3 linked regions of the Oryctolagus cuniculus genome follow. The protein of the gene in region 1 purifies or fractionates together with the protein of each later gene. This does not show direct contact. Links are inferred from orthologs where the notes say so. Each region holds a gene or a part of one and is shown in the gene's direction. Other genes may lie near its edges. The genes, in order: PPP6R1, ANKRD44 and PPP6C.

What was found.
Region 2: the proteins of PPP6R1 (region 1) and ANKRD44 purify together in Homo sapiens (co-immunoprecipitation; 5 studies listed by BioGRID and IntAct, counting the BioPlex papers as one, with this or other methods). This does not show direct contact. The link is inferred for Oryctolagus cuniculus from reciprocal best matches to the Homo sapiens genes PPP6R1 and ANKRD44.
Region 3: the proteins of PPP6R1 (region 1) and PPP6C purify together in Homo sapiens (affinity purification with mass spectrometry; 11 studies listed by BioGRID and IntAct, with this or other methods). This does not show direct contact. The link is inferred for Oryctolagus cuniculus from reciprocal best matches to the Homo sapiens genes PPP6R1 and PPP6C.

What each region holds. Positions count from the first base shown.
Region 1 is NC_091449.1:3,632,033-3,636,295, forward strand, and holds the start of PPP6R1 (serine/threonine-protein phosphatase 6 regulatory subunit 1), read left to right. Parts: upstream 1-1,456; 5' UTR 1,457-2,024; intron 2,025-4,007; exon of another isoform or gene 4,008-4,029; intron 4,030-4,071; exon of another isoform or gene 4,072-4,215; intron 4,216-4,263. UniProt on the Homo sapiens protein: Regulatory subunit of protein phosphatase 6 (PP6). May function as a scaffolding PP6 subunit. Involved in the PP6-mediated dephosphorylation of NFKBIE opposing its degradation in response to TNF-alpha.
Region 2 is NC_091434.1:43,296,596-43,300,103, forward strand, and holds part of ANKRD44 (serine/threonine-protein phosphatase 6 regulatory ankyrin repeat subunit B), read left to right. Parts: coding exon 1-26; intron 27-2,486; coding exon 2,487-2,578; intron 2,579-3,371; coding exon 3,372-3,407; coding exon of another isoform or gene 3,408-3,433; exon of another isoform or gene 3,434-3,477; intron 3,478-3,508. UniProt on the Homo sapiens protein: Putative regulatory subunit of protein phosphatase 6 (PP6) that may be involved in the recognition of phosphoprotein substrates.
Region 3 is NC_091432.1:229,001,640-229,005,576, reverse strand, and holds the start of PPP6C (serine/threonine-protein phosphatase 6 catalytic subunit), read left to right. Parts: upstream 1-1,133; 5' UTR 1,134-1,351; coding exon 1,352-1,426; intron 1,427-1,497; exon of another isoform or gene 1,498-2,070; intron 2,071-3,937.

The sequences.
Region 1 (4,263 bases):
TACACATATCCTGGGGCCGGTGCTGTGGCCCAGCGGCTTAACACCCTGGCCTGAAGCGCCGGCATCCCAAATGGGCACCAGTTCAAGTCCCAGCTGCTCCTCTTCCAACCCAGCTCTCTGCTGTGGCCTAAGCAGTGAAGATGGCCCAAGTCCTTGGGCCCCTGCACCTGCGTGGGAGACCTGGAAGAAGCTCCTGGCCCCCGGCTTCGGATCCGCCCAGCTCCGGCCATTGTGGCCATCTGGGGAGTGAAGCAGCACATGGAAGACCTCTCTCTGTCTCTACCGCTCTCTCTAACTCTGTCAAATAAATAAAATAAACACATATCCTACAGCTCTGCTTCCTCTGGGGAGACATCACCTGCTCCAAGCTGCAAACAACAGGTACCCAAGTCCACTTTTTTAAAGATTTAATTATTTACTTGAAGGTCAGAGTTACAGAGAGAGAAGAGGCAGAGAGACAGAGAGGTCTTCCATCCATTGGTTCACTCCCCAGATGGCCACAATGGCCGGAGCTGCGCCGATCTGAAGCCAGGAGCCAGGAGCTTCCTCCAGGTCTCCCACGCTGGTGCAGGGGCCCAAGCACTTGGGCCATCCTCCACTGCTTTCCCAGGCCACAGCAGAGAGCTGGATGGGAACAGGAGCAGCCGGGATTCGAACCGGCGTCCATATGGGATGCTGGCGCTGCAGGCCAGGGCGTTAACCCTCTGCGACACAGCCCCGGCCCCGAGTCCACTTTCTAGGAAAACCTCCAGGGGCCAGCTTTGTGGCGCAGCCGGTTAGGCTGCCGCCTGCGGCGCCCGCATCCCATCCGGGCCCTGCACCCGCGTGGGAGACTGGAGGCTCCTGATTCCTGGCTTCGGCTCGGTCCGGCCCGGCCGTCAGGGCCATCTGGGGAGCGAACCACCGATGGATGGAAGACCTCCCTCCCTCTAACTCTTTCAAATAAGGTTTATTTATTCGAAAGGCATGGTGACCGAGAGACAGGTCTTCCGTCCGCTGGTTCACTCCCCTAATGGCCGCGACACAAGGTCAAAAGAGCCCTTGCAGACCGCGGTCTTCGAGGACGCGGGGACAGGGCCTGGGGAACGCCCGGGCACGGGTCAGCCGCAGCAGGAACCGGCTGTCGCCCGAGACCCGGGCAGCAGCGACGCGCCAGGGCTTGCGGGCACCGAAGACCCCGGAGGCAGCGCGAACAAGATGTCCGTGGGCCTGCGGTGGGGACTCCGGGACGCCGCCGGCCGGGCGCGCAGCGGCGCCTGCGCACTGGCGCGTCCGCGGTCACGCCGGAGGCCGTTGGCACCAACGGGCGCAGGCGCACCTGCGGCGGTGTTCCGGGGTGGGCGGGGCTCGGGCGGGGCGGGGGAGGGCGCCGGGGCCCGGGCGCACGCGCACTCGGGGCCCAGGCGCCATGTCCCCGGCGCACCTGCGCAGCGCGACGAGCGCGGGAGGGCGGGGCCTGTGCGTCTCCTGCGCTACGGGGATTGTGGGATAGTGGCGGAGGGAGGAGGGCGTCGGAGGCCCCGAGCGGGCTGCGGGAGCCGGGGAGACCCGCGGGTGTGCGGAAGCGGGTACTGAGAGAAGCGGGGCTCGGCTTCAACACTGCGGGCCCCTCGGACGGCGGCCGAAGCCGTTACCGCCTCCAGCAGCGCGCTGGGTTGGGCGGACGAAACCGGGGCGACTTCCTCCGTCTTCCCCTGCCGAGGCGCCTGCGCGGCCCGCGCGGCCCAGCTGACCCCCGCCGCCTCGCCCGTGGGCCGCGGAGGCCCCCGCGTCCTCCTCGCGAGCCGTCCGGACCCTCCTCGGCGCTGACCGCGAACTCCGCGGGACTCGACGCTTGAGGCCGCCCGCCCCGAGGGCGCGTGCGCGGGCCCCGCCGCCCCAGCCCCGGCGCCTGCGCGCGACCCCGCCGCCGCCCCCGCCCCCACACCCCGGGCCCCGGAGCAGGGACCGGAGCCTCGGGCGGCGGGGCGGCGGGGGCGCCCCGATGAGCCCCGAGTGCGAGGAGCCGCCGCCCCCCCGCGCAGGTGAGCGCCCCGGCTCCGAGTCTGCGTCCCCGGGTCCCCTCAGCCCCTGTCGCCGCTGGCTGTCCCAGGCCGCCGCCTGTCCCGCGCGCTGTCTGCTCCCCCTCGGGCCCCAGGTCGCCGGCTCTCCCCTCAGTTCTCCCAAGCGTTTTACTCTCTCTGGCTCCCAAGTCTCTCAGCCTCTCCTCGCGGTCCCCCAAGTCTCTTAGCCGCAGTCCCCCAAGTCGCCGGCTCTCCCCTCGGCCCCCCAGGTCTCAGCCTCTCCCTCGGTCCCCCCAAGCCTCTGGGTCCTGCTCACTTTCCCGCCATCCCCTTGGTCTCTCCTCTCGGTCCCCCCAGGTCTCAGCCTCTCCCCTCGGCCCCCCAGGTCTCAGCCTCTCCCCTCGGTCCCCCCAAGTCGCCGGCCCTCCTCTCGGCCCCCCAGGTCTCAGCCTCTCCCCTCGGTCCCCCCAAGCCTCTGGGTCCTGTTCACTTTCCCGCCATCCCCTTGGTCTCTCCCCTCGGTCCCCCCAAGTCGCCGGCCCTCCTCTCGGCCCCCCAGGTCTCAGCCTCTCCCCTCGATCCCCCCTGGTCTCAGCCTCTCCCCTCGGTCCCCCCTGGTCTCTGGCCCTCCCCTCGGCCCCCCCTGGTCTCTGGCCCTCCCCTCGGCCCCCCCAAGCCTCTGGGTCTTGTTCTCTTTCCCGCCGTCCCCTTGGTCTCTCCCCTCAGTCCCCCCAGGTCTCAGCCTTTCCCCTCGGTCCCCCCAAGTTCAGCCTCTCCCCTCGGCCCCCCAGGCCTCTGGGTCCTGTTCTCTTTCCCGCCATCCCCTGGGTCTCTCCCCTCGGCCCCCCCAAGCCTCTGGGTCCTGTCCTTCCCGCCATCCTCTGGGTCTCTCCCCTCAGTCCCCCCAAGTTCAGCCTCTCCCCTCGGCCCCCCAGGCCTCTGGGTCCTGTTCTCTTTCCCGCCATCCCCTGGGTCTCTCCCCTCGGCCCCCCCAAGCCTCTGGGTCCTGTCCTTCCCGCCATCCTCTGGGTCTCTCCCCTCAGTCCCCCCAAGTTCAGCCTCTGCCCTCAGCCCCCCAAGCCTCTGGATCTTGTTCTCTTTCCTGCCGTCCCCTGGGTCTCTCCCCTCAGTCCCCCCAGGTCTCAGCCTCTCCCCTCAGTCCCCCCAGGTCTCAGCCTCTCCCCTCGGTCCCCCCAGGTCTCAGCCTTTCCCCTCGGTCCCCCCAAGTTCAGCCTCTCCCCTCAGCCCCCCAAGCCTCTGGGTCCTGTTCTCTTTCCCGCCATCACCTGGGTCTCTCCCCTCTGTCCCCCCAAGTCGCCGGCCCTCGCCTCGGTCCCCCCAAGCCTCTGGGTCCTGCTCTCTTTCCCGCCATCCCCTGGGTCTCTCCCCTCGGTCCCCCCAGGTCTCAGCCTCTCCCCTCGGTCCCTCCAAGCCTCTGGGTCCTGTCCTCCTTCCCGCCATCCTCTGGGTCTCTCCCCTCAGTCCCCCCAAGTTCAGCCTCTGCCATCGGCCCCCCCCCAGGCCTCGGGTCCTGCTCGCTCTCCTGCCGCCCCCTGGGTCTCCCCCGTCTGCCCACACTTCCCCCAGGTCCGTCTGCTCAGTCATCCACGCCGGCTCCCTGCAGCCCTGCCCGGGCCCTGCCGCCGGGGCTGCCACCTCCCCGTTCACGCCTGGTCCTTTGCCCTCCGCCCCCGCCCGACCCCACCGCTGAGGCTTAGCCCCCGCCTGGAGCCTGCCTCTGCCCGGCTGTCTCGCTTCTCACGAGGAGGGACTTGGCTCCGGGCCTGTGAGCTGTGGCGTGGGCAGGCAGCCTGTCCCGGGCTCCCAAGAGGAAGGTGTCCCCAGGCCCTGCCCTGGGGAGACAGGTGTAGCGGGACTGTCACAATTGCTGTGTTGTGATGGGTGACGCAGCGCGCAGGACTGGTGAGACTGGCCGGATGGGAGGCTGAGCGGGGGCTGACACATGGAGGGCGGCAGGAGGCTCAGCCTTCCCCCCGGGAGGAGCGGCGCGTGCAGATACGTGAAGGTGACGGCCGCCGTGTGGCGGTGCTGCCCGGGCCCTTGCCAGCCCACCGGCGCGCGCACCTGCCCGGAAGGAGGAAGGTTCTGGAAGGGAAGCCGCGTTGTCTGTCCCGTCGGTGCTGGGCTCAGAGCCGTGAGATGCTGACCACGACGGGGAGAGGTGGACGTGGCGAGGAGTAGCCGGGGGCAGGTAGCTGGGTGCTGAGCGGACAGCGCGGTGGACATGTGCGCTGCCTGC
Region 2 (3,508 bases), on another chromosome or scaffold:
AATGCAAAAAATAATGCACTGCACACGTAAGTAACTTTTATTTACTTATTTTTTTTTAAAGCCAGCTTAACTTTATTTATTTATTTATTTATTTATTTATTTTTGACAGGCAGAGTGAACAGTGAGAGAGAGAGACAGAGAGAAAGGTCTTCCTTTGCCGTTGGTTCACCCTCCAATGGCCGCAGCGGCTGGCGCGCTGCGGCCGGCGCACAGCGCTGATCGGATGGCAGGAGCTTTTCCTGGTCTCCCATGGGGTGCAGGGCCCAAGCACCTGGGTCATCCTCCACTGCACTCCCTGGCCACAGCAGAGGGCTGGCCTGGAAGAGGGGCAACCGGGACAGAATCTGGCACCCCAACCGGGACTAGAACCCGGTGTGCCGGCGCCACTAGGTGGAGGATTAGCCTAGTGAGCCGCGGCGCCGGCTTTATTTACTTATTTTTAAAAATTTTTTTTGACAGAGTGGACAGTGAGAGAGAGAGACAGAGAGAAAGGTCTTCCTTTTCTGTTGGTTAACCCTCCAATGGCCGCCATGACTGGTGCTCTGCGGCCGGCGCACCGCGCTGATCCAAAGGCAGGAGCCAGGTGGTTCTCCTGGTCTCCCATGGGGTGCAGGGCCCAAGCACTTGGGCCATCCTCCACTGCACTCCCGGGCCACAGCAGAGAGCTGACCTGGAAGAGTGGCAACCGGGACAGAATCTGGCACCCCGACTGGGACTAGAACCCGGTGTGCCGGTGCTGCAAGGCAGAGGTTTAGCCTATTGAGCTGTGGCACCAGCCGTAAGTAACTTTTAAAGTCTTACTTGAACCCAGAGTCATAGTTATTGTTTCGAGAAGTATTAGGAGCCTGCTGTGTGTCAGGCTAGCATAGGGGAGCACAGCAGTGAGAAAGGCAGACCTGGATTTTTCTCCATGATGCTGACCGTTGCCCACCCACAGTTGTTTACCTGGCTAGGCAGTTTTGCTTAGAGTCCTCTTTTTGATACGCTGCCATAGCATTTTTTAAGGTCTGTGTTTTTCTTTGCTGATACTTCTATAGTAATATAATTTTAGCAGACTGTTAGAAAAATCATATAGGCTTATGGACACATTAGTATTATATATTAGCATTATGTATTCTAACTGGAAAATGACAGTTTTATAAATCAGGTTCCCAGAATACATTTGAAGAGTTTCTAAGCTATTTGTCTCAATTATATATATATATATATATATACATATATATATTTTTTTCTTTTTGACAGGCAGAGTGGATAGTGAGAGAGAGACAGAGAGAAAGGTCTTCCTTTGCCGTTGGTTCACCCTCCAGTGGCCACCGCGGCTGGCGCGCTGCGGCCAGCGCATCACGCTGATCCAAAGCCAGGAGCCAGGTGCTTCTCCTGGTCTCCCATGGGGTGCAGGGCCCAAGCACTTGGGCCATCCTCCACTGCACTCCCTGGCCACAGCAGAGAGCTGGCCTGGAAGAGGGGCAACCGGGACAGAATCCGGCGCCCCGACCGGGACTAGAACCCAGTGTGCCGGCGCCGCAAGGCGGAGGATTAGTCTAGTGAGCCGCGGCGCCGGCCTGTCTCAATTATATTTTAATATGATTCAGTGTAACCCTTGGTGTGAAAGATCTCAAACCTGATTTATTTTCCATTCTAGAAAGTTATTTATGCATTTGTTTTAAAGACAAAGGACAATTAGGAATTTATTTTTCCATTTAAGATTCTTAGGTAGTACATAGTGCTGTATGCAGAGGTTAACATTATTTTTTAAGGTATTATGAATTCAGTAAAACATCTGTGTACTTTTAGTAATAATAAGATTTGAGATTATATACAAGGGTACTTCAAAAAGTTCATGGAATATGTGTGTTATTTTAAAACTGTGCATATATTCTAACTTTTTTTTGTACCAAAATAAGCTTATTAGAGCAAATGTTTAATGATTATGAAAGTGCCTGGGTTCCATTCCTGGCTGAATCTCTTAACTCCTGGTAGCATGGAGGCTGGCAGACAGCAGTGATGGCTCAAGCATTTGGGTTCCTGCCACCCATGTGGGAGACCAAGACTGTGTTCCTGGCTCTTGAATTTGTCCCCAGCTCTGGCTGCTGTGAGCATGTGGAGAGTGAACAAATGGATGGGAGTCAGTCTCTGTCTCTTCCTCTCTCCTCTACTTCTCAAATAATTTTCAAACGTTAAAAAAAAGCTTGTCTTTTAATTCTATTGTTGCATGAACTTTTTAAGTACCTGCACATATATGGATAATGTCTATGCCTGTCCTGTGTGCCACAATGATTCAAGGCTATGGCAGAAATCAAGCAAGAACCCGATACAGTGTGTTCTGTGTTCTTTCTCTATCTTCCTTGTTACTGACATTGGGATTGAGATGCAGTGTATGTATAAATATCTTGTTAAGTCTTCCTTTTAGTGGGATAGGCTAACTAGAATGCCCCAATATCACACAAATATGTGTCCCAGGTGATGCTTGATGCTGTGTTTTTTAGACCCCTCCACATTGCTGCACGCAATGGCTTGAAGGTGGTAGTCGAGGAGTTGCTGGCCAAAGGAGCCTGTGTGCTTGCTGTAGATGAAAATGGTAAGTGGAAAAAATAAACATTACTGCCTGTGTCTTCCATATGCCGATGGAAGCCAGAGGAAAATGAGAGAGGTTGGAGCTTATGAACAGGCAGTAATAATTCTCTCCCTCTTGAAAGTCCCATGTGTGTGAGAAGTCCAGCAAGGTTAATTTGTCCTGTCTGTCATTTTGTAAAACACATGGTCCACCTATAGCCCACCAGTGCTATCCATTCTGCATGTGTCAGCAGTTGGTCTCTAACTCCTCAGCGTGGTGGTTAAAATCATTTAGACTCACTAAAATAAAAAAAACTTCCAACTTGGCATTCAGAATTCTAACTGCATACACTGAAGAGTTAGGGATTACACATGTCATTAGTGCATGCTCAAGGGCTCAGATAAAAACCTAGGTTTTTGATTGTATTTCAATTCATTCTGAGATCAAACCATTTTTTTAAAGTCCAGATCAGAACTCATATTCCCAGTATGGAAATTTAGGGAACATGAATAAAAATTTTAATTAGTGTCCAGGCTTGAAAGCTTCTCCTGATCTATATAATGCTTCTTTTCTAAACGAGCTGATTCTTAACAGAAGCTTTCTACTCTGCTTCCTAAGAAATTTTGAAAACTAATGAATCCTAGAATTGTACTAAGCTACCATTTAAGCATAACACCTATTAATTAACCTTGGGGAGCAAAAGAGGAACTTCTGGATATTTATGAATTAAGTGATTTTTAAAAATGTGGCATTAATTGTGGCATTTAATTAAAGCATTATAATGTATTAATATAACTCAATTAACTGCTTATTACAGGTATTGGAATTAGCAGCTCATGCCTATTTCTCAGAAGTAAGCAGCCATATTGCCATCAGTAGCTAACTCTTAGTAGTTTTGTTTCTGCAGCCCCATTTACCCAGCATGTACCCTGCTCCATCCCCAACATGGCTCAT
Region 3 (3,937 bases), on another chromosome or scaffold:
CTGTCTCTCTCTCTCCTTCTGTGTGTGACTGTGACTTTCAAATAAATAAATCCTTAAAAAACAAAACAAAAAAACACAGTATTCTTCTCCTTTTCTCTCTGATCTCTCCTACTCCTCTCACTTCTGCTCCAACCACACAAATCTTGCTGTTTCCCGAAGACTTTAGATAGGCGTCCACCTCAGGGCCTCCGCACCAGCTCCTCCCTATCATATCCCTCAGGTAGCTGCATGGGCAACTCCCCCACTTCTTAGATGGCTTTCAAAGTTCATGTCCTTACTCTGCCGCGTTGTTCCCCTAGCACACGTCACTTTCTCAAACGCTATGCATTGATGGCAGCGTGGTGTCTTCCCGTCCTAGCTGTCAACCACAGGCTGTGGACGCCCGTCTTTGTCTACTGTGTTGACTGCGTATCCCAAGCGCCTGCAGTTGTACCTGGCCCATGGCTGGTGTTTGGTAAACAGCTGCGGAATGACGAATGCCTCAATGAATGCTGAAGGCCTACTCAGTGCCAGGTGATCTTACTCGGTTGGGGACACAACATTAAACTCCCTCCCTCGTGGGACTCCCACGGAGGTCTGCTTAAGCCAGCTGACCTGTTTTCCAATGTTGACTCTACCGTTCGTTTCCGGTGACATGTGGGGCAAGTTACGTAGGGTCTCCAAGCCTTACCTTCCCAGCAATCATGAGAATTAATGGGGGAAGGGGAGTGGGGCGGGGAAGAAAACACAGAATAAAAGAACCCTTGCGGCATCCGGTACAAGAAACGCTTTGACATTTCCTTTCTCATCCTCAAGACCAGACGACTGGGAGTTCGGCTTCTCCGCCACAGGTTTAACCGAGGTTTTTGCAAAACCTTGGAAAGGCGCAACCAGGCTACTACGGGCAGGCTTACCCAATTTCTAACTGAGGATGTCCTGTTGAGAGAGGGCCTAAAAGGGTCGCAACGAGAAGCCACAGAACGCTCAGGTCACCTACTTCGCCGTTTTGCCTCCGATAAGCCTTGCCGGGTCTCCAGGGGTGAAGTACCGGGAAGAGGAGGAAAAAGAGAAGCCGGCTCCAACTGAAAACTACAAATCCCAGCAACCCCCGCGGCAGGCAACTACGGGTCCCAGCAGGTTTCGCGGGCGGAATTGAGGGGACCTCTTCGGGCTGCAGCCTGGGATCAGTCAGCGAGGGCGCGGGACGTGCGGGGGCGGCGCGGAGAATCCGGTCAAGCTTTAACGTCGCTGCGCAGACGCCACTCACGGGCCGGACGTGACGTAGGGAGAGTTCCGGCTTCGGCCTCCGCCGCTGCCGCCGCTAGTACCGTCGCCGCCGCCGCCGCCGCCGCCGCGGCTTGTTCCTCCTAAAATGGCGCCGCTAGACCTGGACAAGTATGTGGAGATAGCGCGGCTGTGCAAGTACCTGCCAGAAAACGACCTGAAGGTGAGCCCGGCCGGGGCGGGAGTGCCGCTTGCGGGGCTCGCCCCTTCCGGCTGTGGGGCGCCCGCCGGTCCGCCCTTCCTCTCTCCGCGGGACCCCTGCCGGGTGTCCAGTCCTGTCGCGGTGGAGAGCCCTCCGCGGTGGGAGGCGACCCTCGGGCTCGGCGTCACGCGGGGAGACGGGAGAGCCCGAGTGCCCGGATGCTGTCCTGGCTTCCCCCGCCGGGGATCCCGAGGGCTGTCGCGGGCTCTCCTCCGGGGTCGCCCCTCCTGGCCTGCGGGCTGCCCCTGGACGCGGAGCCGTTACAGCTTCGCCGGGAAGACCCCGCTCTTCCCCAGCCGCAGCGCCGAGCCCCGGAGCCGGAGTCGAGCCCCAGCGGGTGGTGCTCCCCGGAGGTGACAGGAGCGCGGGTGGCCGGCTCCCGGGGTCGCTGAGGTCCGGCGGGGCGGCGGGGCCCGAGCGGAGTAAGAGGACGTCGTGTCCCTCCGTACGCCGCTCCACATTGCTCCTTGGGCGTGCTGGCTCTCGTGCCAATTCAGCTGGGAATCCCGGTCTGTGGCGGTGTTGGGTAAAGTGTGCAGATACCAGTAGCTTGCTCGCCTGGAAGTCGTGCCCCCGAAACCCACTTCTTGGCTTTTTGGAAGAAGGTGACTTTTTGCTTGTTATTGCCCGAGTGGTGGGATTGTGTGTGTGGGTGCAGGAGTCGGGGTCGGATAATTTTGGAAAAGCGTTTCTGTGCTTTGTTGAAACCAGTGCTTGGGTTTCCAGCAGCGGTTACCCGCTAGTGCCGGTGTCTCATTTGTTCTGTTAACTTTGATGGGCTCTGTGCTAAGTGGGTAAGCTGTAAACGGTTCGAGTGCTTTTCATGCTTTCATTAAGCCGTGGGTTGTAAAGTTACAAAAGTAGATGTGACCGTGTTTGTGTTTTTGCTATATCCTTTGGTACCGGAAGTTGATATTTAACCTCACTCAACAAGTATGCAAAATTTTTCAGGTTCCCTGGCCTGATGTGAATATAAATGAATTGTATGTGCTTATGCTGGGATAATCACTCTCGTCCCCCCCCCCCCCATTTTTAATAGGATAGCTTCACTAAGGACAGCTTTTATTAATGGTAGTGTAGTGTTTCTGCTCCCAGTGCTTCAGACGCGTGCTGTGTAGCCAGCATTGGGAACCCGTTCATGGAGAACTGGCCAGGCCTCTGCTGGTAGCATTGTTCATCTTTTTGGTGAATTCATTGCATGTTAATGAATCGATGTGGAATTCTGTTTTCATTTGTTATGTTTAAAGCCGTTTTGTACTTTGTGATTTCAGTTTCAGAAAATATGTCTTGATATTACCTTGAGGTGGGACACAAATTACTTGAAAAACAGTTGGATTTTCTTTAGATCTCTTAGTCTGCTAAACGTTATCTGAAGGAAGTAATTATTAAACCATTTTATTTCCTGTTGAAACATAGTTGGACTGTATTTATTTGCATCTGATTCTTAATAAACTTTATATCTTCTGAGCAACTACTTAAATTCTGGATTTTTCTCTGTTAGAGACTTCTGTTTTGGAAAATTTTTTTTTTCTTTCTTTTTTTTTTTTTGACAGGCAGAGTGGACAGTGAGAGAGAGAGACAGAGAGAAAGGTCTTCCTTTTGCCGTTGGTTCACCCTCCAACCCTCCAATGGCCGCCACGGCTGGTGCGCTGTGGCCGGCGCATCACGCTGATCCGAAGCCAGGAGCCAGGTGCTTTTCCTGGTCTCCCGTGCGGGTGCAGGGCCCAAGCACTTGGGCCATCCTCCACTGCACTCCCGGGCCATGCAGAGAGCTGGCCTGGAAGGGGGGCAACCGGGACAGAATCCGGCACCCCAACTGGGACTAGAACCCGGTGTGCCGGTGCCGCAAGGCGGAGGATTAACCTAGTGAGCCGCGGCGCCGGCACCTCCAGAGTATTTAAAGAAATTTAATTTATGTTTCTTTTTCTTGGCATGAAGTACAAACTAAAAATAGGCAGACCAAAAAATACTCTAGGAGCACCTTTGATGCTTTCAAGTCAGTAGAAAATATTCTGTTAGAGGATGGAAAGAATTAATTGGGGCCACTTAATGAACATGATGGAAGAGACTTGTTTGGGTAGAAAGGAAAGTAAATTTTTATTTGTATTTTAAGTTTATTAGAAGTTAGAGGTGCAACATTAAATAATAAATACATAGGATGTTCAGGTGTGATAACAAGTTCTTTATAACTGAATTTGAAATGGTCAAAATACTAGTACCAGGTCGAATCTGCCTGTTTTGAGGGAATAAGAATAAAGTACCTGAGAGTGAGTGGACAACAGAGCTCAATAGATGGTTTAGATTTCATAAGTTGCTAAGTGAAAGAAGGAGTGATAAAAGTCTAGTTTGGTGCTCGCTTTGGCAGCACATATACTAAAAGTCTAGTTTGCTGAATATGTAAGTACTTTTGGAGGAGAGAGTCTATAACTTGAAGGTTGTCTGAATTTTTAGAAAATTTTTTTTTCAAGATTT